2 linked regions of the Cricetulus griseus genome follow. The protein of the gene in region 1 purifies or fractionates together with the protein of each later gene. This does not show direct contact. Links are inferred from orthologs where the notes say so. Each region holds a gene or a part of one and is shown on either strand. Other genes may lie near its edges.

Evidence for each region.
Region 2: the proteins of Eya2 (region 1) and Acad9 purify together in Homo sapiens (affinity purification with mass spectrometry; 3 studies listed by BioGRID and IntAct, with this or other methods). This does not show direct contact. The link is inferred for Cricetulus griseus from reciprocal best matches to the Homo sapiens genes EYA2 and ACAD9.

The regions. Positions count from the first base shown.
Region 1 is NC_048599.1:13,736,977-13,753,855, forward strand, and holds the start of Eya2 (eyes absent homolog 2), read right to left. Parts: upstream 7,913-16,879; coding exon 7,804-7,912; intron 5,307-7,803; exon of another isoform or gene 5,181-5,306; intron 1-5,180. UniProt on the Homo sapiens protein: Functions both as protein phosphatase and as transcriptional coactivator for SIX1, and probably also for SIX2, SIX4 and SIX5.
Region 2 is NW_023276806.1:113,478,122-113,494,345, reverse strand, and holds part of Acad9 (complex I assembly factor ACAD9, mitochondrial), read left to right. Parts: intron 1-193; coding exon 194-300; intron 301-1,080; coding exon 1,081-1,181; intron 1,182-1,972; coding exon 1,973-2,051; intron 2,052-2,937; coding exon 2,938-3,112; intron 3,113-4,726; coding exon 4,727-4,800; intron 4,801-6,985; coding exon 6,986-7,061; intron 7,062-8,653; coding exon 8,654-8,724; intron 8,725-8,945; coding exon 8,946-9,065; intron 9,066-12,722; coding exon 12,723-12,851; intron 12,852-14,232; coding exon 14,233-14,312; intron 14,313-15,024; coding exon 15,025-15,151; intron 15,152-15,378; coding exon 15,379-15,456; intron 15,457-15,867; coding exon 15,868-15,996; intron 15,997-16,224. UniProt on the Homo sapiens protein: As part of the MCIA complex, primarily participates in the assembly of the mitochondrial complex I and therefore plays a role in oxidative phosphorylation.

The sequences.
Region 1 (16,879 bases):
CTGAGGCCCTGACATAAATGTTTCATATTGCATTCCTAGACACCTGCTAAGGTCACAGACTTAGCTGGGAGCTGTTTTCTAGGGTGTAATTGATCTGGGTGGTTCCCTGGGGAGTATTTTTGTGCCTCGTCATTTCAAATAAAACCACTCCATGTCTTCAAGCAGCCCGGGTGAATTCCGGATGGAGACAGGATGCTCCCATTCACCAAGTTACCCTTCAAGTCCCCTGACTCTGAGCCTCTCTCCAACTCCCTCACCTCACTCTGAGACTTGGCAGCCTCCTCTACCTCCAGCCTCAGAAACTTCTCCCACACACATCCCATATGCTGATAACACCCATCTGTTACCCAGCATTCCCCATGTGCCAAGCTTCCCTCGAATAACTTTCTCTGCATTAATGATTTTAATGCCCAGGTGAAGAGCCGGGGCCTGGAGGGTCTGAATAACTCACTCAGGGCCTATGATTCGAACCCTGGTGGCCCAGCCCTACAGTCTGTCTCAACCAAGTCTGTCTTAGCCAAGAGACAGCCATCAGCATAATTGCAGCAAACACTCCCTCAGGAGCAACTGTGAGCCAGACCCACTGACTTAGACATAGGATCTCATTTAATCCTTACCATGGGGTAATAGGACCACAACACAGACAAGGCCACCCTCCTCCCATCCTCTGTCCAGAAGCTCCGTAAAACTGAATGTGTCTGAACTGAATGTGAACCCAAGGGTCACATGAGCCTGATCTCTCTAGTCAAGTCCCTAGACAAACTGCTGTGTCTCCTTTTACTGCTTAGAGTCACAGCTGAGCTTAGACACAGAACTGTCTGCTTGACTACACACACAGTGTCAGCATTATTGATCATGGTAAAAAGGACCAGGGATCAGCGTGTGTGTGTGTGTGTGTGTGTGTGTGTGTGTTCACGCACATGCATGGTGTGATAGCACAAAGTATATTCTTTACACACCACACTTAAAAACCAAACTCAATGTCAAGGAAAGTTCTGGCACCTCCTTGGTGCCTCCTGATACTTCCCTTGTTCCTGAGGTCTTTGCTCCAGGCAGGCCCCACATGGCCCCCTTTCTTGGTCTTTGGTTCCTGGGACCAAGTACCACTTGTGTCTGAAGCAGCCAGTCTCACTGTTGGTAAAAGCTCAAGTGTGCAGAGCAAATTCAGAAACCATTGAGTTAAACACTTTTAATGCTTTCATTAATAAATATGCAAGTACTCACGAAAATGGAACCCACGGAAACAACATCCCTATGGACTCCAGTTCACTTGCTGTTTCAGGCATTCGAAGTGAGCGTCTTTCCTTCTGGTTGCCAAGGAGTGATTGGCATGGTGGCTTTGCTCAGTATTATGGCTTCCTCATCAGCTCCCCGAACCCTTTAGACACCTGTCTTTCCCCTTTCCGCACAGCCAGGCCTCCCTCCTCCAGGGCTCCTCACATCTGCAGTCACCACCCAGCCAGGGGAATAGATGGGGGGGGGCACTTGGGAGTGCCGAGTGCTTTTTCTCTTGCAGACTATTCTTTTGAAAAATAGTTTTTAACCTCTTGCCTCCTGTACCACATTTAAAGTTTGCCATCATGGGACACACCAGGGATGGAGAAGGTGGGGCAGGTTCCCCTACCCCTTCCCTTGTTTCTCCTGGATAGAACGGGATATTCTTCCTTGATAGTCAGCCTGTGTCTAGGGATGGTGGGACTGGGGTGGGACTCCATGTAGGCCAGAAACTCTGGATGTAGCAGGAAGGAAGCCAGGTCCTCCCCAGGGACAGAACAGAGCTCCCAGTCCCCCCAAACTGTGCTCCTCCTGCTCTGTGACTGCTAGTCTTTGGAAGGAATTCAGATCAATGGTCACTCTGCATTTTGTTGTAGCCAATGTTCAGGAAGTGGTTTGATAAAAAGGGTCACTGTGGGTGAGACTAACCCCAGAGTGGCAGCCGTAGACGCAGGCAATGCTGTGACACTCTAACAAGAGATGGTGTGGCCTCAGCGAAGCTTTGGGTGCCCTTCCCAACTGGGGTGCCTGTTCCATCACTTCTGCCATTTTTTTTCTTTTTTAAAAGAAAAAAAATTTGTCTTATTTGTGTTTCTTGGTCTGTGAGTGCATGGGGCACATTGACAAACAGATACCTCTTTTGCCCCTGGAAGTAGTGTTCTGAGAGAGCAGAGGTGGTTGAGAAACACGTCTCAGAGTATGATTTAGGGGGTCATAAATACGTGCTTCTCTGTGAAACCATCACAAGTTAATCTTAATGCATGTTAAGAGTATAACGAAGCGATAGAAGTCAAACTTTTCTAAAGCTGGTTTGAGTTGTTCTCTTACAGGGAATTTATTTTCACCTCCAGAGTCACAGAGAAACCCTGTCTTGAAAAAAAAAAAGAAAGCAGGTTGATGTTTTTCTTTTTCTCTTTTTTTCCCTAAAGGAAAATTAGTAGCAGTCGGCATAGCAAGAGGCAGCCAGAACACAGGGCAGACACGGGCTGCAGAGGGAGTGTGTGAACTATGGTGGAATCCCCAGCAGTTGGCGTCCTTGTTCCTAGAGTGGGTTATGGAGCATCCTCGGTACCCACAGCGGCCTCCGGGAAGCAGCCAGGATGCCCAGAAAAGGAGCAGAAAGAAGGTTGTGTTCCTTGGGTCAGCACCCAGCCCTCTAGCTTCAGGTTGGAGCTGGCCAGAGTAACACTGGAAAACTCAGTCAGAGATAGGAGTAGGCAGGAAGTCAGAGAGCCGGGCACCTGCTCCCGGGTGGGCTCACCTCCTCTGAAACTGGGTTATGGCTGAAACTTTTCAGGAAGCACCTGTGCTTTAAAAAGGGAATCTTCCCCTTGGCTTCTTGGTATCGGTAACTTTTACCTCCTCCTCCCAGAAAGCAGGATATAACTCAGATCCAACCATCCCTTGAGTAGGAATGAAGGAAGGAGCCCGCCGTGAGTGACACCATCCCTAAGCAAATGATCCCTGGCTGTATTAACAAGGTCAGCCAAGCATGAGCCTAGGAGCGAGCCAGAGCGTGAGTCACCAAGCAATGTTTCGCCATGCCTTCTGCTTCAAGTTCTTGCCCCGATTTCCCTCTATGATGGACTGTCACCAGGAAGTAAGTATAAGCCAAACAAACTCTCTGCCTACCTCCCTCCCCCGACAAGTTGCTTTGGGTTAGAGGGCTTTTATCACAGTAACAGAAAAGCAGCAGAGACAGAAAACAATACCAAGATGTTGCTGTGGGATTTTATGCCTTTGGAGTATTCTTTTGGAAGTCTGTGGAGGACTTTGGGATTTAAGCTGGGGAAAATGGTTCCGTGTTCGGAGGTTAATGGAATGTTCTGTGGGAGTCTGGATGCTAAGAATGCAATGAGAAGTATGAATGGTGGAGAGCAGACTCTGAGGGTTCAGAGGGAAGTAAGGTCTTCATCTGTGCCATTTGTGTGATATTTTGAATTAACAACCCATGGTTGCTGCTCAGTTGAGGTTGAAGAACCATCCACGATTAATGAGAGACCAGCTCACTGAGGTAAATAAAGTTCTCTCTGTGTTTCACTGGGACAATGGAAAGTATTTCCTCATGGTGTCACCTAGAAGCTAATGTTCCAGTGGCCCCTGAACTTGAAAATGTATAAGAGTCCCCATGTGGCACTGGTTTTAAAGGCATGAATGCTACATGACTAAAGGAGTCACGGAGTGCAGCTGAGGCCTGGCACTGTGTGGTAGGACTGCAGTTTCTGAAGAGAGGCCATAGGTGAGCGTGCAGCCTCAGCTCCACTGGAGCCTCCACACTGGAGATGCTGGGAGTGCTCATTGCCTACATGAGCACTTGAGACAGACAAGCTTGGTGTGGAGCTGACCTCAGACTGCGAGACAAGCCATGTGTGCTGCAAATGACCGAGCCTGAGAAGCGGGGCTGCCCAAGCTCTTCAGAGTTGAGCTCCAAATGTCAGACACAGCGCTACAGAATTTGGATTCACATTGCTGGATTTAGTTCTGCTTGGATCTGATTGTCCATAGGCCCCAGCTCTTCCCTTTTGGAATAAGAAAGTATGCAAAGTCTTGTAAGAGACTTTGGATTTTAAAAGGGGCTTTGGACTTTTAAAGTGTTGAAAAATTTAAAGACTGGTGCTTTTAAAGCTGTGTGACCTTGTCTGTTTATGACAGCAAATAAGCAGACAAGTCAGGAGGTCTGAGTAAGGAAGATGAAGTGAAAATAAGGAAGATGGAGATATTTGGCGGATTGATTTCTCTAAGTCCGATCTGGAATGACTGCTGTCTTCCCAGGATTTTAAGAGAATTTCAACACTTACAAAAAATATTTATATTGTTAACAATAAGTTTACTACCAACCTTCAGAATAACTTAAAGGTGAATAATAAAATACCACTAAAGAAAAAAAGTTGTATGATCTTTTACAATATAACATTAACATAAGGTCTTGGGGACAAGGTATTGAAAGGTTATAGTTTAAAAGTGATATGTTTGTGGGTCAAATTGACAAGTGTCAAGAGTGTCCTAGTTAGCTTTAAATTTCAATTTGACATAGCCTAGAGTCAACTGAGAGAAAACCTCAACTGATACCAAGGAATTGCCTAGATGGGCCTATGGGAATGTCTATGGGAGATTGTCTTGATTATTAATTGATACAGGAGGGTGATGGGGAATGTACTGTGTATGTTTATCTTATTGATTGTTAAATAAAATACCGTTTGGCCAATGAGACAGCAAGTTAGACGGGACTGGGAGTCAAAGAGGATTCTGGGAAATGTAGTAGAGAAGTGGTGATCCAGGCAGGAAATGACATAGCAAGGAGACTCATATTTAAGCAAAAGAGAAACAGGAAGGGTCCCCCTTTTCCCTTCCTCCACCAGCGGCAGGATATGAGCCACTGGCAAGGAGGGACACCAATAAGGCATCCGATAAGATAAGTCTTATAAAATATATAGGTTTATGATAGTTAAGACTGAGCTAACAGATGAGAATCCTAGTCATTGGCCAAGCAGCATTGTACCTAATACAAGTTTCTGTGTATTCATTTGGGCCTAACTCGGGCGGGCGGCTGGCATAAAGCGCGCATGTGGCAGTGGGGCTCGGCGGCTTTTGGTGGAAAGATTTATCATAACAGGAGGGCCCAACACACTGTGGGTGTCACCATCCCAAGGCAGGTGGTCCTGGAATGTATAAGAAGGCTAGCTGGTAGCATGCATGTGTGGTTTGTTCAACTAGTGCACAAAAGCAGAGACGAGGCCTGCAAGGGCCTGTCTTCGTTTACAACCAGAGCTCATAGTTCAGAATGAGTTTTGATACACACAAGAAGGACTACAACACACAAGATAGCTCGAAGGGAGCATGGTGTTGATGGTGAGATTGGTTGGTTTATAAGTTTAAAGAATAGGCAATGAGAAAACCAAGACATACGAATCACCATGTAATTTTCACGTGATAAATGAATATAATATAGTAAAGCTAGCTGAGCGTGAGTCTAGGAGGAAGCCAGACAGCAGCATTCGTCTGTGGTTTCTGCTCTGAGATATTGCCCTGACTTTCCTCAATGGCGGACTGAGACCCAGAAGTATAAGCCAATTAAGCTCTTTCCTCCCCTCAGTCGCTTTGGTCAGAGTGTTTTTACCAGAGCAACAGAGATGAAACTAGAATAGAATCCAAGAGGAGGTTGCCATGACCTGAGCCTTAGGGAGGCAACAAACCTGGGCAGGGGAAGCTAAGAAAATTGTATTTGTGGTTCAAAGCTAATATTGACTTGAAATTAGCTCATCCCTCAAGATCTGCATCCATGCTTCAAAACACACAACCACCTACCCATCTATGCAACCACTCACCCATATATCAACCCAACCACCCAAGAACTCATCTACCCACCACCCACCTATCTCTCTATCCGCCTCTCTGTCCACCCATATACTCACCCACCCACCTGCTCACCTATTCATCCATCCGTATTTTTTAAGGTCTTCTATAAGCCAGGCACTGAGCTGTATACTAAATAGGAAGGGGATTTAAATGCATATATAGGAATGCAGAGTTGTCACTGGTAGACTCTAGGCAAATGCTATACTGCCAAGCTATGTTCCCAGCCCTTTACCTTGAGGTAGGTGCTCTACCACTGAGCCACACCCTCAGCCCGCAGTTCAAAATTACCACCAAATGTTTGCTGTGGTAGTGAAAGAGAAGGAGGAGAGGAGGAAGCCAGATTCACAGGACCTGGCTGGGAATGCACCCCAAAATGACCCTGTTCTGTGGTAATGTCAGCATTTCTTGGAACCAGAGATGAGGAAGGGCCTGCCACAGAGTCAGTTCTAAGGAACACTGAAGATGAAGGGGAGGGACAGGGACTTATCTAAGGGACAACTGCCTCTCTGCTGCTGCCAGGTTCCTCTTGCAGCTGAAGGAGTCAGGGGAAAGTAGATTTGATGTACACTCTCCCTATGTTTCACAAAGCCATCAACTATGTACAACTTACCATTAAGGCCAAACAAAGGACTGGCCCAGGGCCAGACTCCCACCCTGCCTCTGATCCCTGTGGTTATTTGACTCAGAGGGTGACAATGGTCTACTTAATCATTTACCATGCCCCCGGGGTGGGACAGGCCTGCCACACACCATAACCTCATTTAATCCCTTGTACGGCACTCTACAGAGTGGTCCATTAGCACAGCCCATTCAACAGGGCTGGAAACTAAGACTTAGAAAGATTGCATGGCTGGGGAGTGGCTGGGCTGGGAGTCAGACCTGGATGCCCCACACCCACAGCCCAGACCCTTGCCATGCTGACTTGGAAACACAGTAGGAAATTGGCCTGGGCATCTACCCAGAGAGAAAACTATGAAGGTCTTTGACCCTTCAGAGGGTCATTTTCACAGATGCTTGTAGATGCCAGGTGTGCCTCCCTCCCACCATCCAGTCCTGGTCTCAGAGCCCACACCCTTGCAGTGAAGATTTTGAACAGGGTTGCCTAATGTCATAACCAGCATGCAAGGGCAATGCCATTCATCGTCTTGGTGACAGAATAATTACTCAGGGAAACCTGGATTTTCTCTCAAAAAGTTCCTTGTGATGTTGCTTTGCATTGGACACATGACCTTTTGGTTACTTGTGACAGTCCTGTCACATTCCTGTCCGATGATCTGGCATCACACAGGGACCATGAAAGAGAACAAGGGGGACCCGAAGACACCACTGGCAGCGAATCCCTGGGCACACTGCTGGGGAAAGGGTTAAGCCTAATGCTTCAGTGTGATAGCTTAATGCCTTCAGCTCACCTCAGGCTCTACCAGGAAGGCTGACAATCCCAGCAGAGCAAACAATAGCTTGGATTGTTCTAGAGAAAACTAGTCTGGCAGCATCATTTGCCAATAATTTCCTAACAGCTTTAACTGTCTTCTGCTTCCTTGACTTCAACCCAACCTGAAAGCAACAGCAGACAAGGCCTCGTCTTGGGCACAGAAGCCTGTGAACCTGACTCCTGCTGGGAAGAGGTGATGGCAGGAGGGAGCTGAGGGACAGAGATGAAGACCCAACAGGTCATACCTTTGGTAGGGTTAGGAATGCACCCAGGGCGACTGTCCTTCATAGCAAATGTCAGGGTTTCTCGGAACCAGAGACCAAGAAGGGCAGCTAGGGCAAGACCGAGTACACCTGTCCCTTGAATGATGGACAAGACTGTGATCCATGTGCACCCAACTTCTGTTCTAGAACCATCAGTGGGAATGTCAGGTTCTGGGAATGGTACCATGGGAACCTCTACCTGTCACAAATGAACAAGGCCCTCTTAACTCGTCCAGTCAAGTTTTTGCAGAGGCCTACCTTCTCTGTCACTCAGAGCCCCCACAGCGGCGTTGTCTTCACTCCACGTCAGGGATTCCTTGCAGTCACTGCTTGCTGCGAGGCTGGGTGAGATCACCACTTCTAACATCGCCTTGTACCTGAGTGGAGACAAAGGGAAATTAATTTATTCATTATTATTCATGTTTGCTAATGAATCATCTTTTCCCCCTAAGAATGTAAATATTAAAAGCTGATTACCTATTCCTAACCTTCTAATAGATTCCATATAATACAAATTCACAAACTTTTAGTCAAAATGGAAATGAAGTCCTTGCCCCTAGAGAGCACGCCCACTCCATCTAAACACCCCTCCTGTGCTTGGAATTTCCCATTAGAGGTATTGTGTTTTGGTCTCTCTTCTGGATTGCCTTTGAACTGGGGAGACATCCCAGGAGAGGAAGGGGTGACAGGGTAGGGGGAAGGATTGGTATTTCAACTCCCATAGACTAGAGGAGCTGGGCAAGGGCACTTAGAGTTGGCTGTGGTAGCAAAGTGGGCAGTATGCTGTTTGTACAGGTGGAAAATGGCATAGAAGACAGTCACAGAATTTCACAAGTGCCTCTAGGATGGGGCCTGGTGCCATACCTCTGTAATCCTAGCTACTCGAGATGCTGAAGTAAAAGAATCCTAAGTTCAATACCAGCCTGGGCTACAGAGCACATTCAAGGCCAGCCTGGGCTACTTTGTGAGACCGTGCTGCAAAATGAAAAGTAAAGAGAGGTCTAGAGAGCAGGTGCTTGCCTTACACATGTGAGGCCTTGGGTTCCATCCCTGGGACCCGAGTGTCTCTAGGTGGTATGCCCCACAGCCCAGAGCAGCTGCCCCTTCCAAGAAAGCAAGCTCTGAGGCTGGAACTGCTCCAGATTTTGACATGTCACAGGGTTGGGGGTGGGAGTGTGTGCGTGGGGGAACACAAGGTGTCATGGGGTTTCATTTTTCATTGACACATCTCATGCTGGCGCTGTAACTGTAGTTGCTCCTAAGTGCCTGTATGTTATGACTGGGAAACAGGGCTGCCAGCTAATGTTCACAGCATGCGGGGTAGCCGTGCTCAATGGCCTAGACTTAACTCACAATACTCATTACTGAGTGCCACGTCAAACAGTAACAGGCAACACCTACTGAACATTTCTTAAGCTGAGGCCATCAGGGCATGGCCAGTTACCACGACACTGATGGGACACACCATGGCAGGACCAGGTCCAACACAGAAACATCATGGATTCAACTCTCTCTAGTTCTGATACTTGCAGACTTGAATCAAAGAGATGGAGACCATTAAAATGCATCTGTGTTAAGACCATGGTGCAGGTTAAGAGGCAAGGTATAGAACGGACGAGCTTGAGGCAGCCGCCCAAGTGCCCATGCGTCCCACAAGACTGGGCTTTGGCAGACAGCATGCTCAGATAATGTCTCTTAGGCAGCCATAACAAGGACTGGGTGGAAGCCCATGCAGCATAGCGACAGATGGCCAGAGTCCAGCAAAGAGGCAGAAGGGTGCCATGGGAGGACAAAGAGTCTATGAAGCCCTAGACCCACAAGTCAGGATTGTACACTTAAGATGTATGAGGTCAAAGGAGAGCAGCATGGGCTGCAGAGGAGGCTCAGGAGTTGGGAGCATGTATTTCCCTTGTTGAGGCCCCAGGCCTGGTGCTTAGCACCCAGTAGCAAGGGCGGGAGAGGAGGCTCAGGGGTTGGGAGCATGTACTGCCCTTGTTGAGGCCCCAGGCCTGGTGCTTACACCCACATCAGGAGGCTGTGGCCAACAGTCAGTTCTAGGGATCCGACTCTCTGGCTTCTTTTGACACTGGTCCATACAAATGCACATAATTGTTTTTAATAACTAAAACACAACAAAACAGACAGATACACGAAAACCAGAATTGTGGATGGGAATGATAAAATGTGATCTCTTGAGGCAAGCTGGGAAGGAGAGAGGCTAGAAGCCGGGAAGGGGACCCTGGAAGTTCAGCCAGATCTAGGTTTCAGCTGGAGCAATGCCCCCGGCCCCAGGTCAACTCCAGCCTGTCTCCTCCTCCAACCTGTGAGCTAAGAATAGCTCCCAATTTTTCACATTTCTTTCTTTGTAGTGTTAGAGATTGGACCCAGGGCCTTGCAATGTTCAACAAGTGTTCTACCACTGAGTCATGCCCCCAGCCCAGGCTGTCATATTTTCAAAGGGTTGGGAAAAATCCAAAGAAGGACACCACTCCCCAACAAGTGAGTACAACGTAAAACCCAACTGTCAGTGGCCATGAGTAAAATTCCAACAGGCTTCAACCTACCGTCATATCCACGGTTACTGTTCCACTACAGCCTCGGGGTATAGTCCTCTAAGAGAGGCTGTGGGTGGATCCCTAAAGCTGAAGCTATTTAATATCTGGGAGAAAAAAGCTTGTAGCAGGCTTTTTTTTGGGGGGGGGCAACAACCTGCTCCTAAATCATGACACAGAGACTTATTATTAGTTATGAATGCTCAGCCTAGCTTAGGCTTGTTTCTGGTGAGCTCTTTTAACTTCAATTAAGCTGTTTCTCTTTGTCTACATTTTGCCTCGGGGCTTCTAACTTTTCTTTCCTTCTGTATACCTTACTTTCACTGCTTCTCACGTCTGCTGGCTGGTGCCAGGCTTCTTGCCCTGAGTGTACCTTCCTCTTTCTCCCTCATTCTCTTTTTCCTTCTCCCTTTTCCTCTTCCCATTTATTCTCCCTGCCCACCAGCCCCACCTATCCTTTCTCCTACCTAGCTATTGGCTGTTCAGCTCTTTATTAGACCAATCAGGTGCCTTAGGCAGGCAAGGTGAAACAAATGCAACACGCCTTTACAGAATTAAACCCACACATCCTTACATCGATAAACAAATGTAGCCCACCTTTACGCAGTTAAAGCAATATTCCACAGTAGAAACAAATATAACACGTCTTTGCCCAGTTAAAGAAATATTCCATGGCGAAAGCTTATCAACTGTGAAGTAGTCTTCAAGCAAGGTTGTGGCTACACCATTGTTCTATGGTTTCCTATACTCCTGTATGCCTGAGGCGAGTTTTCACAGTGTGTGGTGTATGCATGCATGTGTGTGAGGGCACATTCACCTGAACAGGTGCAGCTGGGAACATAGACTGATGCTGGATGTCTTCCCTCAGCCACTTGTCTACCTTAATTTTTCCAGACAGCATCTCTCACCGAGGCTACAGATGGCTGTTTGGTTAGTCTGTCTGGATGACAAGCCCCCAGGTACCCCGGTCTCCTCTCCCAGACACTGGGGTTACAGCTGTGGGCCATGATATGCAGCTTTTGATGTGGGTGCTAGGGATTCGAACTCAGGTCCTCATGCCCTTAGAGCAGACACTCTACCTGCAGAACCACACCCCTCAGCCTGAAAGTGCTTTATATAAAGTTTTTAAACTGGTGAGAGACTCCCACACAAATTAAATGGGCTCTTGGGACTTTACATGAACAGAAAATTATTGGTCCTCTTGTTCCCCCCCACACAGGCATCTTAAGTGTCCATCTCCTTGTTCCCAAATTGCCACAGGCACTGCAGGGTGGAGGTTTGAATGTCTCCTTCCTTTAGCCCTGAAGGGTGGATTGTGCCCTCTGCAGCAGCAGACTTCAAATCTGTCACCTGATTGTAGGTGAAAGAAATTTACACTAAACCTCCATCACTTCTTTCTTTTTCCAGGGTGTCAGGAGATAACAACTTTAAAAGAAAGAAGATGCAAAGACCTTGGTCCCCAAATGTCACCTGCTTGTCTCAGTGTGGCATTCAGAGGCTGAGGCTGCTAGTGAAACTGTCAAACCCAGTTTATAAGCAGCATGAATAACGTTCTCCCTGGTACTTAGAAGTAGCTGGAAGAGTTTAACAAGACAACACTGCATGACAACCTAGGCTCATGCCTTCTCTTGGAAATGAGAGGATAACACCATGATTTTGCTTGGCAACTACAGCTGGAGCCAAACAGCCAAGGCCCAGACCAGTCAAGGCACAGGGCTGGCATTTGCCAAAGATTGTACCATGTTTGACTCTTGTCCCCTCTTTTTCGTATTTACTCTTCTCTCGGGTCCCCACAGTCATTTGCTCTGGAGAGCCCAGGCATATGTATTTTCAGAACAGAGCAGAGAGACACCCCCAACCTCTGTCACATGACTTAGGGATTTTACACAGTTCTGCTGGCACTCCTAAGAGCCTCCTCATATCTGAATGTCCTTACTACGACACTCTGTTGGGTGTGTGTCCTGGAGCCTCTGCTATGGGACAGAAGGAAAGTCATTGAAATCTGGTGGATTTTATGTGCTTTCCCAACTAAGCTGTCAAAGGCTTGGAAATCAATTTTGTTTTCCCCATAGGACCCAACACAGTATCTTGTCATTCTGTTACCCCGTTAACACCTGCTGGAGGGAAGAAGGAAGAGTGAGGGAGAGTGACAAAAAAAGCTGGGAAGGTAAAGTGCCTCCTGCATGAGGACCTGAGTTCAAATCCCAGCACCACGTAAAAACATGAGCATGGTGGCACATGCCTGTAATCTCAGGTTGGGAAGAAAAAACCAGGAGGATCTCTGGCCAAACACTTCAGGCTGATCAGTGAGCCTCAGGTCCCAGTGAGAAAGACTGTCTCAAAAACTAAGGCTAGTGCCCTAGAAGCAACACGCACACACAAATAGTCAGTTCAAGGCTAGCCTGGGATAGACAAAATCCTGTGTCAATTTAAAAAATAAAAGGAAGAAATCCATACTTAGTAACCAGCATCTTTCGATTGGACCAAACCCTTTCCTTCTTCCCTTCATTCCCCACCAGACTCTGGACAATGACTCTAATCTCTAATGTATGAGATATGTAAATATGGTCGTCATTGTAGACATCACTGTGCCATCTTAGGGTGGCACCTGCTCTAATTTACAGGCTTGTTAGTATTTTTATGAAAGACTCAATTATTCACATATTTTATGTTTATGAGTGCTTTGTCTTCATGCACACCACAAGGAATCTGATTTCATTACAGATGGTTGTGAGCCACTATGTGGTTACTGGGAATTGAACTCAGGACTTTTGGAGGAGCAGTTAGGTTCTCTTAAAAACTGAGCCATCTCTCCAGGCCCAATTGTTAGGCTTTTATCTTCAATCTGCACTGTAACTTTTAAACACATGCATTGCTGGGTAGAAGCCAAGCTTGTAGCTGTAAGTGCATTGCCCTGGTGGGGGCATTCAGATGACTACCATCTCTCACCCATTCCAAACAATGCTGCAATGAACATCTGACTATCCATGTAAGCAACATCTATCTATCTATCTATCTATCTATCTATCTATCTATCTATCTATCGTCTATCATCTATCTGTAATTTACATATACATGTCCTGTGTGTGTGTGTGTGTGTGTGTGTGTGAGAGAGAGAGAGAGAGAGAGAGAGAGAGAGAGAGAGAGAGAGAGAGAGAGAGAGAGAGAGAGAGAGAGAGAACATCAGTAGAAATCTTGAATGTCATTCCTTAGGCACCTTCCACCTTTGATTTGAGACAGGATCTTATGAGCCTGGGACTATGACTTATAGCCTAGGCTGACTGGCCAGTGAGCCCCGCATTCCTAGTGCTGGGATCACAACTGTGCAATGCCAGGGTGGGTTCTGGGGCTTGGATTCAGGTCCTCAAGTTTGTGAGGCAAGAGCTTAATGACTGAGTCATCTCTCAGCCCTGTATCCACGTATCCTCAAAATGCATGCACACATCCCACATGGAGCAAGATTTCCATGTGACTTTTAAAGTTAAAGTTGATCAAACATTAACAGCGGTCCCTGGTAATTCCCCTGCTTTTGAAGACTCCCACCAGTCACGCACAGGCTTCCAGTTTCACAGCTCCATGTTACATTTGTGTTGTGGTTTCCATACAAGGGTTCTCCACAAAGGCTGGTGTGTGGAAGGCTTGGTCCCCAGCTGGGGGATCCAGTCACCGAGATAAGGCACCTGATCTGTGATGCACTCCCAGTGGTCTGTCTCACCTCACCCTCACAGCCATGGGGCCAGGCAGTGTGGCCTGAAACCTCTGAAATGAGGCATTGACTCTAAGCAGCAAGGGACTGATTTGCACACTCGGAAGTACCCAGAGCCCTAAGCCGCATACTGAAAGGTAGGAAACAGTATTTCACATTCGTTTTCATTCCCATCTCTCGCGCTGATGGCATGTTGGGGAGAAATGCGTATTCATTTCCTTTATTCTTGTCCATCTTTATCATTATAGCTTTTCTTTGTTGCTGTTGCTTAGGGTTTTTTCTTGTTAATATGTCTGGGAAACTTATATTAGTCTATTCAGATGTTGTAAATTCCTTTCTCTTTTCTCTCCGACCCCTTTCTTTGGGGGCAGGGTCTCATATAGCCCAGGCTGGCTTGGAAAACCCTGCATAGCGGAAGCTGACACCTGATCTTCCTGCCTCTGCCCTCAGAGGGCTTGGATTATGGGAATGGGGTGCCACTCCTAGCTCAAAACATCAGCTTCTTCCCCCACCCCCATGATGGGAACCTAGGGCCTTGTGCATGCTAGGCAAGTGCCCATCGTGGCTGCATCCCTGGTTCCACATGCTTGGAATTTCTTTCCATTTGTGTATTTCCTTCATTTCTGGAAAGGAAAAGGTATATTTAAAATTTTATTCTCTGTGTATGGATATTTTACCTGCATCTGTATCTCCAGTTCCAGAGGACAATGCAACACCCTCTTCTAACCAGGCACACACAGACATTCATGCGGTCAACTGGGTGGGTGTTGGTGATAGCGTAGCTTGAAATTTAGGTCACTTTCTAAATCACAATAAAAAACCAGACACTAGGAAGAATTTTTTTTTTTGAGACAGGGTTTCTCTGTGGCTTTGGAGGCTGTCCTGGAACTCATGCTGTAGACCAGGCTAGCTGACAACTCACAAAGATCTTCCTGTCTCTGCCTCCTGAGTGCTGGGATTAAAGGTGTGTATCACCATAGCCTAGGTAGGAAGAGTGTTTTAAGGCACTCAAAGACAAAGAAGGCAATACTTGAGGGCCCAGGGTCTCCAAGATTGAGGATGGTCAGAGTTAAGTCTAGCTTCTACCTTCTTTGCTCTCAAGACATCTACCAAGTCATGAGCAAGAGCAACATCACAGTGTTTTCCCATCTCACTGGGCTGTTGAGACAAAGTCACTAGGGCAGCTCAGACACAAGGGGACATTGTAGAAATGTGAGGGCTCAGTGCGGCTTGACATTGTGGAAGGTGTTGCTTTTGTGGAAACTGCTGAAAGCTGGGGGCGGGGGCACAGCAGAGAACCCAAGCGGAAAGGGGTTCTTCAGTAAGAAGCAGAAGAGAGGGTTGTCCCTCAAAGATGGGGGGTCTTAATTAGTACCTTAGGCTTGTGGGGTTGGGAAAGTAGCTTAGTAGATAAGAGCGTTTGCCAAATAAGCCATGAAGACAGTTCAAATCTTCAGCACCCATGTGAAAACCTGGATGTGGCCACCTGTGCACCTGTGACCCCAGCGCTGGGGGAGTTGGGGGGGGGCAGAAGCAGGACTGCTAGGGTTTGCTGGATGCCAACCTAGCTCCAGGTTTAGTGAGAGACCTGTTACAAGGGGAGCCAGTGGACAGTGATAGAGCAGGGCATTAGTCCTTCTGTGGACTCAACATGTACACATGGATGTGTGTGCCAACATAGACACACACCGCTCCCACCATGCACAAATAAAGCATATTCCAGGGTTTCACTGATCCATGACTTGGAGTAAGGGCAAGACAAATAGATATTGCCCCGTGTTACATCTTAATCTCACATTGGAGGAAGGATTCCTCTGCCATCTGGGCCTGACGAAAGAAAAGCAACAGTTTCCTCTAAGAAAGATGTAATGTCCTGGAGTTTCCACATTGCTTTCAAACACAATAAAAGCAAAACAACAACAAAAACAAAACAAACCCCCAAACTACCAGACATGTAAGGAGCCATCACCAAAAGATCAGAGTCCAAGACTGAAGGCCATACAAATCACCCGAGAATCAGAGATCAGGGTTACAGAATGGGCTTCCCAGTAACTGTGAAAAAAGGTATAGAGAGTAGATCAAAGGTAGAAAATGCACTAAAGCACAAGAATGTAAAAAAAAAAAAATCAAGTGGAAACTGCAGACCTGCAAAATGAAACAAGCAAAATTGAGAATACAGTGCAAACCTCAGAGAAATCACAGAGTAAACCACGGTGAAAGAAAAGATTAGTGAACTGGAGGGCCAATCCGTAGGTGTGGCTCAAGAAAATTGGGACACAGGTTTTGAAAAAGCACAGAACAAAAACTACTCATGGTAAAAGAGCATACATGTAAAGGGGGGCACAGGAGCGTTGGAAGAAGGAAGAAATAAAACACAATGTTTTAAGGCAAACTGACATAAGGCTGTCACAGATGCATTGAGGGCATGGGTGACAGCATTAAGAAGTTCTGTAAAAACATGCAAGGTCTCCACAGAGCAGGTAATCCCTGGTCTTGGAACATTTGAGCTGCTCATCCCTGACTTAGAACAGGAGGGATAAAAGATAGATTATATTTAAAGAAAGAATGATAATAATAATTGAAACAGATTCTCTAAATAGAATAAAGACTGATGACTGAATTTACATCTCAATATAGAATTCCATGCCAGTGAAGAAAAAGAAAACTCTTTAAAAATGAAGTTAAGGGTCTGGGGAGCTTTCTCAGTGGGTAGAGTGTTCACTGTGCATGCGTGAGGGAGTGAGGTCAGTCTCCAGCACTGTGTAAGCATGAGGGAGTGAGGCCAGTCTCCAGCACTGTGCAAGCATGAGGGAGTGAGGTCAGTCTCCAGCACTGTGCAAGCATGAGGGAGTGAGGTCAGTCTCCAGCACTGTGCAAGCATGAGGGAGTGAGGTCAGTCTCCAGCACTGTGCAAGAATGAGGGACTATATTGATATATTATTTATGATTTATTAAAGCTTGCCTGAGGATTCAGAAAGCAAAGTTGGCCACAAGCCCCAGAAGCCAGGCACACACCTTTAATCCCAGCAGCCTGAAGCCAGGAGGTGGAAGGTTCACACCTTTAGTCCTAGGACTC
Region 2 (16,224 bases), on another chromosome or scaffold:
TTGCCTCAGAGAAATCTGAATATGTATACAGAAATATTCTGGATAAGATTATAGATGATAGTTTCCTTGTACCATTTTGTGTTTTTAATTTTTGTGTGTGTGTGTGGTTTCTGCTATTACATTAAAATTAGAAAAATAAAATGAATCTCTTTCCCCATTTGGAGAGTCAGCTAGACTGGTCTGTCTTTCTTAGGTGGCCTAGGCCTCTCCAACACCATGTATGCTCGGCTTGGGGAGATCATCAGCATGGACGGGTCTATCACAGTGACCCTGGCAGCACATCAGGCTATTGGCCTCAAGGTCAGTTGTCTGAGGTCCTATTTGGGGCTTTCTGGAAGAAGTAGGAGACAGGGGACTGCTGCTATGCCATAAATGGGCTTGATTGATAGATAGCCTAGCTGCACTTGCACCTGAGACAGGTCAGTGCTGTCTTTGGAAATGGATCCTTCCCTGAGCTGTCCTGTCTGCACATATACCTTTCCTGCCCCCTGAACTGAAAGCATGTTGGGGTGGGGGCAGCTTCAAAGGTGCACAGTCCTCAAGGGTTTCATATTAGCTGGTTAGTTCTGCTGTATACAGGTGAAAGACAGTTAAATGAACTCAGCATCCAGCTTTGCAGCCCAGGATTAGGTGTCCAGACTGAAGTTATTTAGCAATAGGGTTGGACTTGGGGAGCACAGCTTTGAAACTGTACACTCCCATCCTGGGTATAGTTCTAGCATCCCCGTATATTCATGCTAGCATCCAAACCATCCTGCCTATAAAGGAGAGGCCCTCAGCTTGCAAATCATGATGTGGAGACTTAGAGAAGATCCGTATCTGACCCAGGGTCACCCAGGCATGCACTGGGATAGGCAGGCATAAAAATCCTGGATGCTGATTCCAAAGCTACCACTGTGGCTGCCCCTTGTGCATAAGTATTTGGCCTTTCCTCAGCGGGTTGGCCTTCTAAGCAGTGTCTGAGGCTGCCAGTTCTGAACTCACTCTGTTTTCTCTTGAGTGAAATAGATATTGTCAACAGAGGGGCTGCCCTTCAGTGCACCTCACTCTCATCTTCACTTGGCCTGTGTGTTCATTTAGGGGATCATATTGGTCGGCAATGAGGAACAGAAGGCCAAGTATTTGCCCAAACTGGCATCTGGGGAACACATTGCAGCCTTCTGCCTAACAGAGCCAGCCAGGTGTGTCTCTTCAAAATGTCACCTGTATACTTGGCACCATCCAAGCTCCCTGGGACATGGAACTTGTTTGGAGTAGCTGGTTTGTATTACCTTCTCAGGAGCCTTCAGAAAATCTGCAACTATTGATAGGATAATTATCTTATCTCCTGCCAATTAAAACTTAGATGACATTCCCACAGCATCTACTACGTCAGTGTTTGTGGCTCACAGGCCTCTTGACATGCAGGGATGCATTCAAACTTCTGTGAGTCTCTGAGCACATGGGGTGGTCTCACGGGGAGTCCACATTTCTAAATTAGGAGCTAAAGTTCAGAGAAGTTGTACCCAGTCTAAAGTTACACAGCGAGGATGAAGCAGGCCTGGGCAAGACTCAGGTTCTGATGCAAGTCTGGCTGGGGCCTTGTTTATTCTTGCTTCTCTTCATTTGAAATCCTGAACAGGGTTCCTCCTGTTGTGACCCGAACACATACAGAAACTAATAAGCCCTTTGGAGCCTACATTCACGTGTGGAAACTTCGGCCCAGTCTCTTTCCACTACCACTTTTTTGCTTGTTAGCCACACAAATCTTATTAGTATAAGTTTTACTGGAATGTTCTCTTTAGCTCCCAGACTCTGACCACCTTCCTTGTTCAAGCATCAGAGTTGAAGTTGAACAGTTGATGTCTCTTTTTTTTTTTTTTTTTGTCTGACTCAGTATTTTAAAGGCCTGTCTTATTTCTAAGCCCTCAAAATTATTCTAATCTTATTCCTAGTATTACTCTCCCTTAGTCACACATCTCTGCCTTTGCAGTGGGAGTGATGCTGCCTCCATTCAGACCAGAGCTACATTAAGTGAAGATAAGAAGTACTTCATCCTCAATGGATCCAAGGTATGACCATGATGTCATTGCTCTGTCTGGGTTAGTCAGTCTTTACTGCCTCTGTGTGTCTATCTTCTACTCATCGCACTGGATGTACGCCACTGCTTTATCAGAACAATTGGAGGCATAGCTGAGTGGCTGGCAGAGCCAGGACTGTAGCAAGGCAGTCTAGCTCCACAATTTCCTTGATTCTGTCCTTAAAACTACTCTTGTGTGCTTATTTTCAATTCTGGTTCTGCAAAATTTCAAAGATGCAAAGTATAGTGCAGTGCACTTCCATGGCTCTGGTACCCAGCTAGAGGAGTTACACACTCACGTTTGGTAGTCCTTCCTCTGTTGACATCACTGGATGGCATTTTTGTGATTTCATCAAGGATTGCTGAAAGATAGAACCCTGAAATAACATTAGCAAATGGGGGCAAGGATAATAATGGCTCTTCCCTGGTTAGCATTGAGATTTCCCTGTTCATCTCTTACTCTTTCCCCCTGATCAGTTGTTTCCTTGAATTCAAAAGTAAATAATTCCCATCCGTTGCAGACTGGAGAGCACGCTCTTCCTCATCCCATTTTCGCTTTGGTCGGTTGATAAGTAAATACAGTATATTCAGTTTGTACATTTGCATTTTTGCAGCAGTGATGAAAAGGCTCCTTCTTATTTTAAGTCTGCCAGTGGTCTGGGAATGAGTGGAGCTCAGAGGCCATCTTAGTGTCCTTGGCTGAGCTCCATCCCTTCTCTAGGGAGACTTAAGTTGAGTGTGCTCCTGTGCTCTTCCACACAGGCTTGTCTTATACGGAGCATTCTCCATGTCTTGCCTGCTGTGGAGCTGCTTCATGTCTGGCCTGAAATTAAGTAGGTGGATAGAGCTGATAGGTGTCTAATCTTTTTTTTTCTCAGGTTTGGATCACCAATGGAGGACTAGCCAGTATTTTTACTGTGTTTGCAAAAACTGAGGTGGTTGATTCTGATGGTTCCATAAAAGACAAAATCACTGCATTCATCGTAGAAAGAGACTTTGGCGGAGTCACTAATGGGAAACCTGAAGAGAAATTAGGCATTCGAGGCTCCAACAGTAAGTAGTGTGGCTGATGCTTATTCATGAGCCTGATAGAGAGACTTGAGAGACAGGTTCACTGACCACTATAAGAACTATAACGGAAATGGCATTTAATTACTTGTGGTTTCAGTTAGTTTCATTGTAGTAAAGTCAAATTAAGAATGCAGTTGCAACCTATGCTCCTTGGTGCATTCAGTGTTGTTGATTCTAGGTGAGCGAGGTCAGTTGGAATCTCAGCCTTCGTAGGGCAGTAGTGGACATCACACAACCAAGGCACGTCTTGGGTAAACATCCTGTGGCAGGCCACCCCATCTCTCTTCCTACTGTCCCTTTCATTGCCTTTCATTGCCTAGTCAGCCGTTGCTTCAGTGGAGGCTGGCGTCCTGTTTGTTGCCCTCTGTTCACCCAGTATGGCCATGGCATTTATACTATTCTCGTGGTGTAGTTTTAGAGTTACCTTCCTGCAGGGGACTGAGTTCCTGGCACATCAAGGCCCACATCTGTATACCCTATGTCTTTGGAGCTGAGCATTTCAATGGCGTCAGTTACCTGTTGACAGCTGGGAAGCTGACGCCCCAGCAGCATGCAGGACCCCAAAAGAGGGTCCAGGAACATGAGGTCAAAAGGAAAGGCATGTCTTCCCCATACCCAGTGGAGTAGCCTTTGAAAGAATGGCCAGGTCCTCTAGCTCATGTAGCCAACCCTTAAATATGACCAGCAGAGAGAGAAGTCAGTTTGGTGGCATTCCACCCCCACACTTTGCCAGAGCAGCAGTGGAATGAAAAGCATTGAGTCCATCTTACAGCACTTGGCCTGACTCTTCCTTGAGCCCAGACCTTCCTTATCCTGAGTCTCTCTGGTTCAACATGCCAGCAGGTACGTTGTCTATGTAGCAGAAAGTGCAGGCAGTGCTTCAGGGAATATTGTGCAAGGCCACTGTTCCAGCCCCTGCCTTGTCCTGTGAAACTTGTTTCTCATGGTTTCACTCAAACTCACCAATGGAGCCTGTGTTTCTTCCAGGATTGCTGTGGTCCCTGGCTACAGTAGCCCTGTCTGTCAGACACCTTAGAATTTAGGTTACAGCAGCAGGATTTTATTTCTTATGGTTCTCATGGAATGTTTCAGCCTGAAGCCTGTTGGTGAATTGGGTTTAGGTTGTTGTGTGTCTGCACTCATCTGGTTGGCTACATTCTATCTGCTAACACCCCACCCAAGCTGGGAAGATGCTACCCCATAGTACAGGGGTGTGGCTGTGTTAACATAGCAAACAAGACTTAAGGTCTGAGGAAATTCTGGTGTTCTCCATATGCTTTTCTGTCTTTGGCTATTTTGGTAGTTTCAACAGTTGTTAAATGTTGCCTTACAAAAGAATGACAGCCTCCCTTACAGCCCCATCTCTCTCTGTACTGTGCTGTTTATTTCATCACAGCACTGACCATGCTACCATGTCCTTGCATTTATGGTTTGTCTTCCTAGCCAAAGAATGAGCTCTGTGAAGGCTTGAATGCAGCCTTTCTCACTTGTTCTTCAAGATGCTAAATGAGTGACTTAGTCAGTCACTGGCCTCTGGGACAAGACCAGAATGGTTTGCATTTGTTAGTCACGATCTTTAAATTCCCTGTGTCTTAGCATGTGAAGTCCATTTTGAAAATACCAGAGTGCCTGTGGAAAATGTCCTTGGAGAAGTTGGAGGTGGCTTTAAGGTAAGTTGAAGACCAATGTAAGTGCTGAGCCATTTCACATGTGAGTCTTGTGTTCTGCCCTGTTCTTTCTCCTAGCAGGCTAGCCTGTTCTTTATCTGTGACTTCGTATGGCTTTGGGCATAGAAATCAGCCCCATAGAGTCTGGAGAAATGGCTTTGCTCCTAGAGGAGGAGTCTCATTTAGGATGAGGAGTCTTTATTCTCCTTGGAGACCTCCTTTTTCCTGAGTGAGGAATGGAGTTCCCCTCCCTAGTAAGTGAAGAACAGGCTAGTGGGCTCCAGAGAAATTCAAGTTCCACGAACCGAGCACCGATCATTCCCGGCCCTAAGCTTTTCCACTTATAGTCATGTTTATATTTGAAAGATTTATTTTCCTGAGATAGTCTCACCACAAAGTTCTGATTGGCCTGGAACTCATTATGTAGACCACACTGGCCAGAGATCCACCTACCTCTGCCTCCCTAGTCCTGAGATTAAAGACATATGCCACCTATTCAGCTGGATTTATTTATTTCTACTTTATGTATGTATGTGAGTGTCTGCATTTGTGTGTGTGAATTGCATATGTGCCTGGTACCTGGAGAGGCCAGAAGGCATCTGATCCTCTGGAACTGGAGTCACAGGCTGTTGTAAGCCACTGTGTGGGTGCTGGAAAATGAACCCAAGTACTCTACAAGAGCAGCAAATGGTCTTAACTGCTGAGCCATCTCTCCAGCTCCAGATTGACATTTTATTGAGAAATGTTTTAATGTGACATTTAATTTACCATTTTAAAATGCACATGTCTATCATTTTTAATATATTGTCTGTTGTGCAATCACTGCTTTTAATTCCAGAAATGCCATGCTTCCAGTTCTACGCCCATCTTTTGGCAACTGCTGTTTTCTTTTTTTCTTCTTTGGGTTTGTGGATGATATGACTGGACTCATACAGTGTATTTTGTGACTGGCTGCTTTCACATCATATTCTCAAACCATCATCCATGTCACAGCATGAGTCCATATTTCATTCCTTTGTCTGGGCGGATAATGTTCTACTGTGTGGGGAAACCACATCTTATCAGTTCATCAGGTTGAGTTGTTCCTTTGGCGCTAGGGTCAATAGCACTGTTGCGAACTTTCATCTTCAAGTTTTTGTTTGGAAAATATATTCTCAGTCCCTTTGGGTATAAATGTAGAAATAGGGTTGCTGGATGTATGGAGACCAGCACTTCTTTGAAGAATGCTTTCCACACTGCCTGTAGTGTACGAGGTTCCACATCTTTGCCAGCACTTGTGGTGGTGTCCATTTTCAAATTAAAGCTGGCTTCATTCCATTTCTTCACTTGCGCAATCTGGTTGGTGAGGAGACTCCTGGGACTCTGGATGAGGTTCATAGCATGTCAACCAGAGCTGTGTACCTGCCTGGCTCCCAGGTGTTGACTGTACTGGATCAGAAGAAAGAGCAAGGAATGAGGCAGGCAGGGTGCTGGCTAAGCCATCAGCCCCTGTTGTTTGGCAGCTGGCTGCAGTCACTAGAGTCATCTATGTATATAGGCTTTCCTGTCAGTCCTGAGAACAGAACACCTGAGTTCAGAACACTGCTCTGAACCACAGCTGTTTCATCTGTAAAGGTGGACAGTTCTTGCTGCTCGCAGTCTAGGTTTCTGTCCCTTCCCACAGACGAGGAGTACTGACAGGTGCATTTAGAGTATGAGCAATGACTTTTTGTGTGGTCAGAGCGAGGCCAGTGATGTTGATAGAAAGGTACAACAGTGACTAAGCTACCTAGTTTGAGGGTTAAGAACTGCTTGCTTCTGGCCTGAAAACAGGCAGGGTGATTAACTTGGCCTGGATGCTGGCTTGGAATACTGTAGACACTTGCCTTTGCTTTTATGAAAACATGTGGGTACAGCTGGCTCCTTCCGCCTCCTTCAATGCCTCTGTATAGTAGGAAATTACCAATACGGAGTCAGGTGGAAATATAAGGGTATTTAATAGGGAAAAGCCTTACTTACAGAGCGAACCAGCCAGCCGGTGGCAGTCTGTACAGCAAGAAGCAAAGAGAAAACGAAACCGAAACGCAGACCCCCTACTCACTCTGACCACGCCTTCACAAGCCTGCCCAGGTACTCCTGTAGCCAGCCCCTAAGAAGGCGTGGCTACAGCTTCCCCTACACCTCTGGACCTTTTCTACCCTCCCTGCAGGTAGCCATGAACATCCTTAACAGTGGGAGATTCAGCATGGGCAGTGTTGTGGCCGGGATGCTCAAGAAACTGATTGGTAGGTGTGTGTATAGTTACTTAACTCATTGCTGTGACAAAATACATAAACAGCTTTAGGAAGGGAGGGTTAATTTTGGCTCACAGTTTGCATGCCTACTCCATCTTGGCAAGGAAGGTGTGGCTATGAAAATCTCTAGCTGTGGCTGCTGGAATGTGAAACAGTCGGCCACATTGTGTGTGAAGCTGGGAAGAGGAAGAATGAATGCTGGAACTCCCATGGCTTTCTCCTCGCTTACTCAGTCTGGATCCTCAGCTTATGGGCTGATACTGCCCATATTCAGGTGGCTCTTCCCTCCCCAGTTAAACATCTCTGGAAATCTGTCACAATCAGTGCCCAGAGGTGTCTTGTGGTTCTAAGGCCATCAGGTTAACACCAAAGATTAATCTCCATAGTAAGGAGTCAGGAGTCAAGGTAAGTCAGGAGCAGGAGCCTTTTGCAGCACCAACTGAATACCAGGAATGTCTGTAGTTTCTGCTGGGTGGGCAAGGCTGAGCTAGGCCAGTTGGACAGACAGCTTAAGTTTAGCATCTGGCCTTTAATTTAGACCAAATGTATTCCTTCCCCAGAGCTAATATATTTCCATATTACTAGTCAGGCATTCTGTCAGAAGCATAAAGCTTTGCTGCTCTATCCAGCACAAACATGGCTATTTAGTGAACTTCAGTCCACCAGCCAGCCACTAAGAAAACATTGGCTCTGATCTCACTAGAGCCCATGGCTCTTTGGGCATAGATGTTGGCTGTGAAGTGCTGGAAACAAACACAACCTTGTGTGTTTTGTGACTATTAGAGTTTATAACAATGTAGGCCCACATTTGGACTCTTCCCTCTATTTGGTTAGTAGAGAAACTGAGGCCCAGAGAGGGTGGTGGATTACACAAGCCCATGCATCATGACCTAAAGGCAAACCTGCTTGTTAGGCTCAGGCTCCTTTCAACATGCTCTGTGGCTCTCATCAGTGAGAGTTCTCACAGTCAAGAAACATGTGAGTATAGGAACAATTAGAGACCAGCTGCAAGTGGATTACACCCAAGGACATATTTGGGAAACAAGTTGCAGGCAGAGCCAGAGTCACTAGTGCCCTCTGAGGCTCTTAGAACCCGGCACTATCAACAGCCAGGCACCTTGAGGCCCCCACCAGAGCTCTGACATGAAGGTACCTTCATGTTGTGGTTAAGTATCTGTGGGCCCACTTCCACATCTTTCTCTGATGCCTGGTGCACCTGGCTTATGCTAGAGCCTCCAGCCTTTCTCCTCTTTGTATTGTCATAGCATTTCTGTGACTTGGGCGATGTGTTAACAGAGGTAGAGTGCTTCCCTTCATACCCTCACAACTGACTCAGCATTCCATGTTCTTAACTTCTGCCTGCTGCTTATAAGCCCCATGAGGAGCAAGAATTCCACCTTTAACCAGCTGCCAGAAAGTGGGAACCCTGGCTTTTGGGCTTCTCATCTCAAAGACAAGGCTCTCATAGTTCCTTCTGGGTGTTGAAGGGTCATCATGCTGCTCTTAGGAAATAACTTTCCAGTATTCAAAAACCTCTTTTGTGTTTGTTTTCTGTTTGTTTTGACAACTCTGTTCTTCTTTAGAACTGACTGCTGAATATGCCTGCACGAGGAAGCAGTTCAATAGGAATCTCAGTGAATTTGGTTTGATTCAGGTACTGAAGACTTTGATTCACGGGATGAGAAGAGGTTTTCAGTTGCTGGTTCTCTGTACTGTGCCTGTGGGCAGGGACATAGGAAGAAAACTGTAATAGGCATTATTGCCCCCAGATAGCAAGGCTTCTGATGTGATTTGCTTCTTGGGAGAAGAGGTTAGGAGACTGAAGCCTATGCACATGCAGATTGTTTATTGATTTTGTTTTTCTGAACATTTCAGGAAAAGTTTGCACTAATGGCTCAGAAGGCATATGTAATGGAGAGTATGACCTACCTCACTGCGGGGATGCTAGACCAACCAGGATTCCCTGACTGCTCGATCGAGGCTGCCATGGTGAAGGTAATCCCAACTCAACTAGAGCTAGCACTTGGGGGAGATACAGCCTTTCTGATCCGTCTTCCTCTTTTTAGTTGATAGAATGACTTGACTTACGATTTGTGCCCACACAGCTTTCTGGGTTAGCAGGGCCCTAGGTTGAAGCTGGGAGGAGTGATAGAGAGTGATGCTCACCCTAGGGTGAGTCTGCAGGAAAGCTCACTGCTTCCCACTATGGATGGTGCCCGTTTTTACTGATTGATCATAGTCTATAGCACCAGGAGAAGACACAGATGTTAAAACTTTATAGCCATGTACATTAGCTAGACTCTCCTGGGAAGGTATGCCATTTTTTTCATAGTTGACATCCTTTCTTCTTGATTGGAACTTGGTTTTATAACATGTTTAATGAGGTTAAAAAGAGGTCACTGGTTACAAGAATTTAATTTTTTTTAATTTTTATTTATTTATTTGGTTTTTTCAAGACAGGGTTTCTTTGTGTAGCTCTGGCTGTACTGGAACTCACTCTGTAGACCTGGCTGACCTTGGACTCACAGATCCATCTGCCTCTGCATCCCGAGTGCTGGGATTAAAGACATGCATCACCACCACCCATCAAGAATTTGATTTTTTTTTTTTTTTTTTTTTTTTTTTTTTTTGGTGTGTAAAATGACCAAGTTGGCTATTGGGTCATGTCCTGGTTTGCCTGAGTGTTGCTATTTCTTAGAAACATTGCTCTAAAACAACCTTTGGAGTTTACAGCAGGCCCAAGTTTATATGCCTGTTTCTGGGGCTTCTTCAAACCATCCCTTCTCAAGGAACTGCTTCCTTTTCTGCAATAAGGATTCTCCTAGCTTTACCTCTGGGTCATAATTTTGTCAAATAACAGAGTTGGGTAACAGTGGTACTGCTTCAGTTGAATACTTAAGGGTTAAGCAAGTAAATCTAGGATCATGAATAGACAGAACCTGGCAAACATCATACAGCAATCACCTTCTTTACCTCTGTGGCATTGGGTGTTTCTACTCCTTTGTTCAGCCACTTTTCTGCCAGATCCATTAACTTTGGGTCATCACTATCAGTTGGGACTATTTCCCTTGGTTTCTCGGAGTTTTCTGATATACTTACTGTAATAGCAAGAGCCTCTAAGTTGATTTTCACAACCCTCTAGCTTTGGTTTTTTTTTTAATTTTTTAAATATTTTTTTTATTTTTTGAGAATTTCATATAATCTCTTTTGATCATGTACTTCCCCCTCTTCAAATCCCTTTAAATCCTCCTTCACTTCCTACACACTCAATTTCATGTTCTTTCTCTCCTTTAAACCCCCACTTCTCCCAGAACTAACCCGGGAGCCTTGTTTGTGTTGTATACCTACTGAGCGTGGGGCTTGGGTGGAGTTGGGGTGCTATGCCAGTGATGTTCCATTAAAGAAAACTGATTTCTCTCTCCCAGCTGCAATCAGTTGCTTCTTGGCTAGGTCTTATTTGTGCCCACTTCCCTTTCTCCATGTTGGGGTTTTGTCTGGCTTGAACTTGTGCAGGTCTTGTACATGCTGCTGTAGTCCCTGTGAGTTTATATGTGTATCGGTCCTATTGTCTCTGGAAACTGTTTCCTTGAAATCATCGACTACCTCTGGCTCTTACAATCTTTCTACCGCCTCTTCCGCATTCATTCCTGAGCCTTAAGAGTAGGGCTGAGTGCTTCGAAGTCTCTCCCTCTCTTCACGTTGTCCAACAACCTTTCTTATTAACCATCAGTGAACAGGAGTAAAGGGGTAATTGTGGCTTTATTTACTAAATAGTTGACCATGGAAAGCTGTATCTGAGAGGCCAAAGAGATCAGTCATCTTGGGTGGCCTAAAACGGCAGTTTCCAAGGATATGGATGCTTAAATGTTGGTGTCAGGGAAGACCTGAGAAAAGCACAGCTTGGCCATTACATGCTAAACAGCAGAAATAAACTTTGGAGCCTGGACTCAAATCCTAGATTTGCTATTCCCTAACCATGTCACCTAGAACAAGTCACTTAATATCTCTGAGCCTCCATTATTATCTATGAAATGGAGATAGTAAAAGTACCAACATAAAATTATTGAGAAAGCTAAAGGTGCTAATAAACAGCTTAGAGTACCTAACATAACATGTCACCTATTATTGGTTAGTTAATTTTATAATATCAAGGTGTAGTCAAGATAAACAGTAAAATTCCTATTGAAAACACACACAGTAAAATATATATGTGTTTAGATAGCAATTTCTTGCTTGGGTTTTTTTGTTTTGTTTTGTTTTGAGGTTGGGGAAGTTTTCTTCTGTTTTGTTAAATATTTTCTGCGCCTTAGACCTGGGTTTCTTCTTCTATTCCTTTTATGTAAATTTGGTCTTTTCCTGGATGTTTTGTGCCTGAGTTTTTTAGATTTAACATTTTCTTTGACCATTTCTTCTATCTTCAATGCCTGATATTCTGTCCTCTGTGTCTCATACTCTTTTAGCAAGGCTGACCGCTGAGGTTTTTGTTTGACTTCCTAAATTTTCCATTTCCAGTTTTATTTCAGTTTGGGTTTTCTTTAGTGGTTCTGTTTCTACTTTCATGTCTTGAGCTGTTTTCACTATTTGATTATACTGTTTGTGTTTTCACAGATTTCATTGAGGTTTATTGGTATCCTTTTTAACATCCTTGTCTTATGCTTCAACTATGTAGAATTTCTCAGGGTCCACTGTAGTAAGGTTACTGGGTTCTGGAGGGGACACATTGTCTTGACATGTTTGCATTTTTGTTCTGGTGTCTAGGCATTTATAGTTATGATATTTAAGATAATTCTAGGTGTAGGCATCTGGTCTTGTCTTTGTTGGGTATGAGTTCTGTTTCTTAGTTTCTTTTGCCCTCTCTGGATCTCAGGAAAGGATCTCTAGGCTGTGGGTTGTCTGGTACTGAGTGCTTCTGAGTCCAGGTCCTGTGTGGCCACTGGGGGTCCCAGGTAGAAAGTGTTTGTAGAAATTGGCAGATGACTTAAAGGAATGGGCTAGAAGGTAGGGTTGAGTAAGGGTCTTTTTTTAAAGCTATGATACAAGTAACAACCCCACTTTCAGCTGGACTTGAATTCTTAAGAGAGATGCTGGAAGATGTGACAGCCTAGAGAAATGGACATTGGAGAGTCTGAAGTGGTCCTGTTTAAGCTTAGGAACAGGGGCAGCTGTGTGCTGGGTGGGATTCATTTCATTCTCATGTTTTCCTTGGACACCAACTACTGACTGGTGTCCAAGAGCTGACCCTCTTCCACATGCTAACCCTAGAGCTGAGTGTCTCTATCCATAGGATGTTCCATAGACAGTGCTCATGAGAGCAAAATGGAAGTCCGTGGGGATGGCAAGAGTAATCACACTTCCTAAAGGGAAAATCTGGGTGAATTACAAAGCATAGGAGTTGGCACAAGAGACATGACACAAGTGTTGGGGATGGAACACAGTCTGGTCACTGGTCCAAGAAGGCAAAAGGACTTGACTGTGCCTACCTGGAAAGTTCCTCCTGGAACCACTCGTCTCCAAGCTCAGGTTTTCTGCACATTCTCTGACTGCATCCTGGGCAGCAGCTCCCTGTAGCTTAGGTCTTGCTCTTACAAGACTGAAGGGAATGTCTTGTGGAACACTCCCACCAGGCTCTAACCTTGTCTGGGTCTGTGACAGGTATTTAGCTCTGAGGCTGCCTGGCAGTGTGTGAGCGAGGCTCTGCAGATCCTTGGGGGCTCCGGCTACATGAAGGACTACCCCTATGAGCGTTTTCTGCGTGATTCCCGCATCCTCCTCATCTTTGAGGTGAGTGTCCCTGCCGACTGTGCTTCCCCGTACACCACCTTAGTGATGTCCCTCTGCTCTTCCAGCCTTCCGAGCCCTGAGAGAGGCTGCTAAGTCTCCAGAAATAGCCTACAATGATACAGGGCAGGCTGTATCCTCTGGTTGGACCCTCTTAACCATACACCAGTGCTCCCACCCTCCCTTGCTTTGTAGAGGGGAATTTAGACTGGGAGAGCCCGAACAGCCCCCTCAGGTCACACTCCTGAAAGCCCTTTCTACTGGGCCCATAACTTCCCAGTTGTAGTTTTGCCAAGTTACTTCTGGCTGGGCAGGATTGGATAAATCTGTAGGAGAGTAGGGGTTCCAGTCCCAGATCCCACTCTGCTTCCATTCTGTACTCCCTAGGCTATGATTTCACTCTCAGTAAATTGAAGTTAAGCTGACTCCTGTGAGCTCCAATGGAAGGTCTCCTTGGTCTTTTGGTCCCAGTCAACATCTCTGCCTTTTCAGTCAGCCACAGCCTAATAGCAGAAGGCTGGGCTGCCCAAAGAGCCAGGCATGTCTGAATTTTGTCTTGGGGTTGCCTCTCTATTGGCCCTTCCTATAGGGAGAGGCCTGGATTTCTCAAAGATCCTGGCTAGGTAGTATAGTCCAGCAGGGTTTGCTCTTGAGGCCATAATTCATAGAAGGGTGGGGAAATTTTGATGTGAGGCAGACTTTGTTCAGAGCTAAGGGCAATACCACAAGAGTCTCCATGCCCAGCTTTTCCTCCCAGGAAAACTTCTCTCTCCTTGGTGTCAGTCCAACTACAGGATGGTGCTGGCTGTGAAGCGTGGGTCAGTAGCCTGCAGCTTCCTGTTCTATAGTAGAATTGTATTAGAAGCCTAGTAGTCCTGTTGGGTACTGCAGAGAGAGAGAGAGAGAGAGAGAGAGAGAGAGAGAGAGAGAGAGAGAGAGAGAGAGTGTGTGTGTGTGTGTGTGTGTGTGTGTGTGTGTATTCCCCTGAGCTATTGCTGCTCAGCTGTCTATAGTTTCCCTGGGGATTCTGGTCTAAATGAGAGCCATGGGTTATCTGTTCCATACTTTCTGTGTCCTGGTCATCAAATCCCACCCAGAGAGATCTGGCTTCAGTCTTATAAGGCTTCTGAGACCTACAGAAAGATCTGGACTATGCAGGATAGGCTATGAGAGGTAAAAGTCCCAGTGGGAGGCCATACCATCTAGTCAGCCTTATTACCCTTCCAGTGTGTTCGCTAACACCAGGCCAAAGCCTGCCTCTGTGCCTTGTTCCCAAGCTGCTTCAGTGGCAGCCTCTATCATGTGGACAGTGAGTAGTGGCTGGATTTGTCCAGTCACAGACTGCACTGCTGGGCTGCTTTGACCTTCACACTTCTGGCTGCAGGGAACCAATGAGATTCTTCGGTTGTTCATTGCCCTGACAGGCCTACAGCACGCCGGACGCATCCTGACCTCAAGGATCAAGTATGTGCTATTTTCCCATCTGTTCTTGGTCCCTACCTGTCAGCAGCGGCCAGAGAAAAAGGCTGCCCAATTTTGGAACAGTGGGTGGGGCCTGCAGCCTGCACACAGGCTTACTGCAAAGCTGGTCCATGCAAATACAGTATCATTTGCACAGTGGTGACAGGGTCTGGAACCCACACCTCTAGCTTGCCCCTCACCAAAATCAGCAGGAAGGGCAACCTGCCCAAGTTGGCCTCATTGCCTTTTAGAGTCACATTGTCCTCTAGGCACATTCAATGCTATTGTCCACCTCCCTTGCTAATGCTCATTTCCCACACTGGAGGGTCCCTGGTGTTTGGAAGTGTTTATTATGTTGACTGGATTGCTGAGACATCCAGAAGCTAAGGAATTGAGTGGTGTGCCACTAATAGGTGGTGAGTTTGAGACTAGTTTCTCTTCTCTGCCCCTCTATCTCTGCTGCCCTCATTCCAGGGCAGAGCAGTCAGATCCCTGCTGGAGCCCATGCACAGGATGCTAATAGTATTTTGCAGACTCCTTAACTGTTTGGAAGCTGGCCATACAACAGACTTCTCCCTGCTAGGAGGAGAAAGCCATCCTGCATGGAACCCACATGCTCAGCTATAGAAAAGCACAGAGTTCCATGGTGTCATACTGTTGGTCAGTGGGAGCCAGCTGCAGGGTCTTAAGTCACAAGACTGTGAACTTCCTGCAGAGAGCTTAAAAGAGGCAATGTGACTGTAGTCATGGAGTCAATTGGTCGGAAGCTTCGGGATTCACTGGGCCGAACTGTGGACCTGGGACTGACCGGCAATCTTGGCGTTGTACACCCTAGTCTTGGAGTAAGTATGCCCAGCACCTGTACTTCCCACATTTGGGTCCTCTTCCTGCAAGGTATTCCCAATCCAGGAGGATGTGACTAGTATCTGGGATCCTCCAGGAAAGTGGGGAGCACTCAGATGCTCCACTCTATCCCTTCCCTGTCTCCCTGGAGCTCCAGACTGCGCCTATTAGGTGGATCAAGTGTACATCATGGAAGAGATACTAAGTCTGTCTTCTTCACTAATAGGACAGTGCCAACAAGCTGGAGGAAAATGTGTATTATTTTGGTCGGACTGTTGAGACCCTGCTACTCCGTTTTGGAAAGGTAAGTGGGTCCTGCCGGGTATGGGTTACTGCCTCCACTACTTATGCTACTGCGTGGTCAGCAGCCATGGAACTACTTTGGGCCCATTGCCCACCTGTGAGTCCAGGCCTAGAACAGAAATCTTGATCTCCATGGGGCTGGAACTGCTAGCCAGCACTGACCCTGGAAGGGCCCTTCTTGGTGAATTATTCATAGTGTTCTAAACACCTTCCAATCAGAGGGTGACTCTGGAATACCTGGAGGAGCCACCTACCTGGGGCTGAACACAAGGAGCTAATCTGTGGGAAGTCTTGCTGAAGGTGACATTGAGCACACTAAGCACCAGACAAGTTTCTGAGACCTGTTTAAACGTTGACATGTGACCAAGTATAGAGAAGGGAAAAACATCATTGGTCACCACTCTGTCTGCAGACCATTGTAGAGGAACAGCTGGTATTGAAGCGGGTAGCCAACATCCTCATCAACCTGTATGGCATGACAGCTGTGTTGTCACGGGCCAGCCGCTCCATCCGGATTGGGCTCCCAAATCATGATCATGAGGTAAGTGTTGCACAGCCTACACAGGAAATATTACAAAGAAGCCATAATGAGTTTGATAGGATTGTGGCTACTGGGATAGGCCCTTTTTCCACTGTGCTTTAATGAAACCTGAGCTGAAGAAGGGAGACATTGGGTAGTGTGGCCTGTTGGAGAGTCCTGTACAAGAGAGACTGAGTCTCCAACCCCAAGTGGTAGTGGCAGAGATGGATGGATGAGTTTTCTGTGCTA